2 linked regions of the Schizosaccharomyces pombe genome follow. The protein of the gene in region 1 interacts with the protein of each later gene in a pairwise test. Each region holds a gene or a part of one and is shown on either strand. Other genes may lie near its edges.

Region 1 (3,758 bases):
TCAAAGGAATCATCGATGCATTGCTCAATTCGGGGTAATAAAAATATCGGAAAGTACATGTTGAAAGAAGTCTTGCAAAGATTTTCAAAATTAACGGTTAGCTGCAAAAAATTATCAATCGATTTCTTTACCAATTTTTGGTCTTTGGCAAAGGCAAAAACTTCTTCCAACCGACTAGAAACACCATCCACAATTGATTTTAGATATTGCTTGCTGAGTGAAGCACTATTTACCAATGTTATGTAGTTTTCGACTTGTTTGGCGGGAATGCTATTTGCATTCTTTAGCCTCTGGAACTGAGCTTTTATAATGTTACAGACAGTTAAAAGATTATGGGAAAGGTAGACATAGTAATCATTTCTTAAAATAGGGATTAAGCTTTCGTTAACAAATCTGGTGAAGAATAAAGAGGAGACTGTAAAAAACGCACGTTGGAATACTTGCTTCGTAACGTACATGACATCGTCTACAATAGAGCTCATCCATGGGGAAACCTTTGTGTAATATTCCTCAAGTTCCAAAGACGTTTCTATACTTCTCCTGAAATAGTATGTTTCTAATTGTAATAAGGATGGAAGAAGTTGCTTTTTTAACAGAAGTTCCATCTTTGAAGAATTGAAAATAGATGCACAAATAAGATTGTCCTGGACAGATGGATCATTCGAAGTACCATCAGATTGGGACAATCGAAGGACAAGACGGCTAATAAATATTTTTGAGATATTCCATTTGGAGACAATGGCTGACATTTCATTCAAAATCGGATGTAGCGTTTGAAGAGAGACCCTTTCTAATTCCTTTTGATCCGAAACAAAGGCACGATTTTTCAACTTCGCATGTAACAAAATGTATTTGTAAGAAGCTATAGAGCTTACGAGGTTATCAATTCTTCTCACGTCAAACATGGTATTCACGATAATGGAACCTTGGCGATCACAATCACCTTGCAATTTTTCAATAACGGTGATGGTGTTTTTGGCCTTGTAATATTTTTGAACAAGAGGCGTATGTGCGCGTATGATAGAAGCAACATGCTCGACCAGTCCGGTAAATGCCTGTGCAAAAAAAAGAGCATGAGTAGGGGGCTCATCGAGAGTGGCCCTAGCTTTAGAAGCAATAATTCCACCAAAAAAATGCCAATAAGCTTCTAATCCTTCCTTTTCTTTGCCGATCAAAGGGAAGAGTTTGAAGTAACGAGTGATTTCTTTTTGATCCTGATTTCGGGCGGCCTTATGGAATTCCCGCCAAAAGAGAGTGTGTAGAGATTCGGTGATTTCTTTTAAGGTGTCCATGGGCGCTAAAGGTTGCTCAGCTGTGGGAACAACGGCATGTGCAAATTTCCCTTCGATGATAGCCGGCGATGTGGAGCTTGCTCGATGTACTAAATCAGCTGCTTTTTCCCATTGTTGGTGATGCATAGCTCTGTTGAGATCCTGCAAACATTCTTTGAAATCTCGGACTTGACGAACAAATAAAAGACACTCTTTTATACGATTCTGTTCTCTATCGACCGATTTGATTCTCTCAATGACCTCCTCGCTAACGATAGTGGTATTGCAAAAAGCATCTTTAAGCTCTTCAATCTGACCTACAAACAGCACTAGACGTTCTGCCATATTCTTGATTAAAGAATTGAACTTCTCAGTCGGCTGTGCATCGCTTAGCAGCCTTTCCAGCTTTTCGTCGGTTCGTTGGGATTCGACTTGTAAGTCATGAAACCGTTGTTTAATTTGCGAGATATCAGTGCAGTCATTGATGGATATGTCCATTGTACACTCATTAAATAAAGAAAGACTAAAACGCGTTCGCAAATTATCTCAAAAAATCTACGAGGTTGTGAATATTAACCGCGCAAAATAACAATTAAAAAACTCAAAGTAAGAGTGAAAGAAACCAAAGTAAGGGTTGTCGTCAGTTGATTTTCGAATTAATTAATTTTTAAATAAATTAGTAAACCTTGCAACGTCTCCCATTCAACTTGCCAAATGCCGCACAATTGACTCCTACTAAAAAAAGAGTTACTGAGTGCATTGCAAATGGTCAACTTTACGATATCATACTATTCCAGTAACTAATAATTAACGAGACGATAAATATCATTATTTGACAGAACGCAACATCGCAGACTCTAATAGCGAGAGTTCGCTGTTGTTCTTTAAATGTTTGATGTGAGGCAGGAAATATAGGAGAGTATATTTTGTTGTGCAATCATTCATTCTTATAGTACAACTGTAATAAAAAGTCATGGAAGAGCAATTTCCAAAAGCTGTATTTTAAAAATTTACGGTTTTCTGCTACGCCTCGTTGTTAAATACAAATCCATGTTTTTCGAAATTTCAGCATATTTGTCACCAATGTGATGGCCAAACAACAACTCACAAAGAAGGTAGTCTATGTTAAACATCTCAGTTCTACCTAAAACATACTCATGTATACCCCCTTCTAAGAATTGCTTCTCTTTTTCTTTATTTATTTATTTTCACCTTGAATCCTTTACTCGATTTCCCACTGCTGTACCAATATTCCTCTCCTCGTCCAAACAACTAGATCTTTATGGAAGTTACTACTGGGAAGCGAATATTACTAAGACATTACAAAAATGTGTGTACTATTTTACGGTCGAATTGGTCGACACAAAGAAATGGTAAAACGCGACCGACCTACTAATTAATTCTAAAAAAAATCATCAAATTAACAATTGGTATTTGTTTGATCATAACGATGTATATGAAATGTCATAAAGTACTTGAGTGTAGAAACGCATGCGTGCGACGAGTGACGAGCTCAACTATAAGCAATTGATATGGAGGCGAAACTTTCTGTAAGGAGAGAAATCTAATCCTTCTTCATAGTATGCATCTCTTGGTCAGGCTCAAAATGTTGAATTTCAGGATGAGCAGACAAAGCATCTACTGCATTCTCAGGAAGAGAAACGCTGAATCCCTTAAATACGGTATCATAAGTATGACCAATTTTAGCACCAGATGCCTCTAAATCAGATTTTATTTTATCCATCGATGCAGGATCAACAGAATCTTTCAATTGAACGATATACGACTTTTGACTCATGGCGAAATAACGAAGGCGAAAAAAACAAGGAAAGTAGCGTTTCAGATTTTTTAGCTGTACTTAAAATTCACTTAATTGTCAAAAAATGAACAAGCTTATGTAGTACAGATAAGAAGGAATTGAGCGCAAAGGGGAAAAGGCTGGTTTATATAGCATTCGCCATGTGCATTACGTAGGTCAGCTTATCTAAATAGAACGGTTGTGCACATTGCTTGCTTAGCCAATTTATTAGCTCTTTCTCTTTCAGTATACTTTTTAACGAAAGTCAAAAGAACTTTGGTAAAATAAATAACAAAATATATATTACATTTTCGTATTGTACATTGAGAAGGCTATTGCATTTGCATATAGGGACACAATATTCCTCATTATTCCTTTTTTTCACGCAGTGTAGACAACGCGGTCTGGAAAAGACATACATCCATTGGAATTGAGTTGTATTTTTGGGATAGGCGGTTGAGTGAGAATGAAATTGAGAAATTAGATGCTTTAATAACCAGTGCTTTTAAATTGCTTCTTGCTTTTTGATCAACACCGTGATTTCACTCCTGCGAGGTACATGTTACCTAGCTTTGATCTAATTTGAAAAGTTGGACTCATGGATGGTAAAGAGAGAAATTTCGTTTTATCCATACTTAATCATAGTATGTCTCTCACGCATACTCTCACATAGGTAGTTAATTGGGATT
Region 2 (3,593 bases), on another chromosome or scaffold:
GTACTCTTCCAAAACCCGACACTGAGGCTGAGATCATTCAGCCGGTTTTTATTCATCCTAATGCTATTGTTAGCAAAGGTGCAAAGATTGGACCCAATGTTTCAATTGGTGCTCGTGTTCGCATCGAGGATGGCGCACGTATTCGAAACTCAATTATTCAAGAGGATTGCGAAATTTCTGCCAATGCTGTTGTTTTACATTCCATTCTTTCCCGCCATTGCAAGATTGGTAAATGGTCTCGAGTCGAAGGTTCTCCAACTCTTCCAAGCCAGCACTCCACTACGATTATGCGTAACAGCGTTAAAGTCCAAGCTATTACTGTTATGGGCGCCGATTGTATAGTCCATGATGAAGTACGCGTTCAAAATTGCCTTGTACTTCCTCATAAAGAAATAAAGGTTGGTTTGGTTGGTGAGATTGTGATGTAAGATACTACATTTAACCTTGCAGCAAACTTGCTTTTTATTATATCTACTTGACTCTCCTTTATTATATAATATACATTTATTAGCTGATGCAGAATGCAGATTGTTAAATGATTAAGATGCGTCTTGACAGACCAGTTAAATGACATTAAGTATTATTCTAGAAAAAATCCTGAATTTAATTGTTATTAGTGATTTGTTTTATTACTGTCAATAAGCATCTTCTGCAACGTAAGACTCTGCGGGATCAATATCATTGAAATCAATGTTTTTAGAAGCCTCGTTATGCATTGATATTTGCCAATCTGGAAGGGAGGCAGTACCAACCTTTTTAGTTTGAAAACCTTCTGAAGTATCTAAAGGATTCTCTAATACTGGTATCGAAGAGTTTGATGTGGTAGCGAAAGTGTCGTCTTTTTTTGAATCAGTTTGTAAACATCGTAGAGAGCTAATTTCTCTCGAAAGGTTTTGTAATGCTTCTTCTTGAGATTTCTTAATTTGCTCAAGACTTTGTGGTAAAGTAATAGTACTCATGGTATATACATCTTGTGAGATTCTAGCTATTTCACGATCTCGGTTTTCGGACGTACGCTTCAAAGTATTCAACGTCTCTTCTAAATCATCTAACGCAATGTCCAATTCATCTTGCTGTTTTTCAGTTCTCTCGGAAAGCTTTCTTGTTTGTTCATCTAAATTTTCGAGTATTTTATGAGCTTCTAGAAATTTAGCATCCAAAGCGTTTTTATCAGCTTCATAAGCGTTTTGAGATGGTGCGCGAAACATTGGTGCTATGTATTTCTAAATTTAATTATGTTAAAACAGCACGAATATTTTAAATGTTCAGTTTTTTGAACGTACCTTTACTAATGAATACGCCGACCATGCAAATCCAGTCGAAATAACGCCCATAATAAACCAATCTCTCCAATCTCTTGAAACAAAATTACTAGTGTTTTCAAATCGAGGATAAGAAGGGAATAGCGGATTTTTTGCTAGCTTGAATGCTTCTTGAATTTCTTCGGCAGTTAAACCTTTGGATTTTAGAAATTCAATCTTTTTCACATCAGGAGCATCTAATACAGTTTTTTCTCTTAAAAATTCAACGGAGTTTCTTAACAAATCCTCCCTCATTTTTCAAATTGACAAATGCTTTGTACCGAATTCGCTAGTTAGTAGTTGTATGGAAATAAGCAACTGAAATATATTGAGTAAACTCCGGACTGCAAGATAGTAATTTCACGATAATTCTCTAAACAAGCTTGGAAATGTCGAGGTTTATGTTTTTTTAAGAATGGGATTACACAATTGTTTAATTTGTCAAATTAATTTGTGAAAGTACGCTAATGAATTGTTCTGGTTATATTACGCCGAAAGTTATTAACTGACAAATTAAAGAAAAAATTGTTTCTTATTGTTTGGTGGTTTAATACAGTGTTAAATAAAAAAATTATTTTTCGAAAGTTCAATAGAAGGAACAAAATATTGACAAAACAAGTAAGCACATGATATATATGTAATTATGGTATCAATCATTCCTAAGCCCTAAAAACAATTTCTATTTTATTAAAAATAACCATATTTACATTATCTAGAAGGCCTAACCTGTCTAACATTGAAGTTCACTCGCTTTCTTGAAATCCATCCATCCCAAGCCTTGTTTCCAGTCAATAGGTAATTAGGCGTAGAGTTGGGTATAATCTTAGGAACAGCTGCGGTAAGTTAGTAAGCAATCAATTGACTATAAATGAGGTATTTGAATGAACAATGCTTACCATGGAAAGCCTTTCTAGAAGTTCCAGTCATAATTACAACGTCTCCACTGTGTAAACGTAAAGCTGAAGGCTTTTCCGACCTCGACTCGGTACCGATCAAATATATGCAATCCAAACCCATTGAGAGAGAAATTAATGGAAGTGTCAAATCCTCTTCAGATTCATCGATATGTGCACTCAATGTGTCACCAGGAGAATAAAAATTTACGATTGCAGCTTCAGCTTTCCAATGTAAAAAATCTGTGCTCTCTTTAACAACCTTTTCAACAAAGTCACCTAAATCTTTGGGAAACCCAGGAGATTTGGAAGGATCAGGATACTCCTTCGTCGTCCAGTCATACTGTTCACCTAGTGTAACCCATCGAAGCTTTTTATGAACTAGTCTGTCAACCGTCAAAGGCTTAGTTTCTCCAAGGCCGTCAATGATACTTTCTCCATCACCATTGTAATATCTGCGCCATATGCTATCATTACCTAATGGTAGTTGATAAAATGGTGAAAGGTTGGTCTTGTTTTCAGGATCTTGAATTTGCGTAAACATTATAGATTTTAACAGCTGCATTTGCAGTTCCGATGAAACATAGTTTTTAAGAATTAATAATCCAGGAGCTTTTTGAAAAGAAAAAACTCTAGGTTTAATTTCAACTAAAGCTTCAAATCCAAAAGACTGGGGATCATTAGGATCAAGGACCTCAGACATGTCAGGAATTGTGTCGGCACGACATTTATAGCGTTTTTCTTCTAAACGAAAAACATTCGCCTGTTCCATGTTTCCCGCTAGCATTTCAATAAACTAACTTTATGTGGAGAAATCGACAGATCATTTAATAGAGACTGAATGAAAAAGTTTAGGCCACTTGCAAGGTTTTTCTCCCAGACAGTCATAGATAATTAAATACAGTAAGAACCATAGTACAACTTAATTCAATTTTTACCATAATGCGTAATATTTATTACCTTTACATCTTTTATACATATTCTCAATTAATATACTTTGGCATATTTTAAATGCGAAGTTCTTAAATACGCTTTAAATGGTTAACCCTTTTAAAGCAGCAAGACCCAACAATACTATTCATTTTACCGAAAAGTGGTATTTTATCATACAAAAAATAGAAGAAACAGGCAAACATTCGAAGTTGTTAAAGAATAGAACACTTTTATACGTAACTACAAATTGAGTTATAATCACTGCCAAAATTCCCTATAAAACAATTCGTATAAACACAGTGTCGTGAATGAAAAAAATAAGAAGATTTTACTTTTAATAAAGTGATGGGATCAGTTTAAGACTTGAATGAGATGAAATGTTTTTTATAGTAATTTATTCATTTACGTAGGTCCAATAGAAAATATACCGATGTCAATCGATTTTGTTTTTAAACTCGCAGTCTGA

Evidence for each region. Proteins that work in one complex are often made in the same cells at the same time.
Region 2: the proteins of cog4 (region 1) and pex14 interact in a two-hybrid assay, tested with the Schizosaccharomyces pombe proteins (2 studies listed by BioGRID).

What each region holds. Positions count from the first base shown.
Region 1 is NC_003421.2:1,352,441-1,356,198, forward strand, and holds the start of cog4 (COG complex subunit Cog4), read right to left. Parts: upstream 2,006-3,758; 5' UTR 1,770-2,005; coding exon 1-1,769. Other genes in the region: proteinase B inhibitor Pbi2, read right to left, coding at 2,836-3,069. UniProt on the Schizosaccharomyces pombe protein: Component of the peripheral membrane COG complex that is involved in intra-Golgi protein trafficking. COG is located at the cis-Golgi, and regulates tethering of retrograde intra-Golgi vesicles and possibly a number of other membrane trafficking events.
Region 2 is NC_003423.3:3,730,797-3,734,389, forward strand, and holds pex14 (protein Pex14), read right to left. Parts: upstream 1,604-3,593; 5' UTR 1,557-1,603; coding exon 1,284-1,556; exon of another isoform or gene 1,224-1,283; coding exon 636-1,223; 3' UTR 501-635; downstream 1-500. Other genes in the region: mpg2 (mannose-1-phosphate guanyltransferase), read left to right, coding at 1-428; abh1 (alpha-ketoglutarate-dependent dioxygenase), read right to left, coding at 2,010-2,134, 2,198-2,966. UniProt on the Schizosaccharomyces pombe protein: Component of the PEX13-PEX14 docking complex, a translocon channel that specifically mediates the import of peroxisomal cargo proteins bound to PEX5 receptor.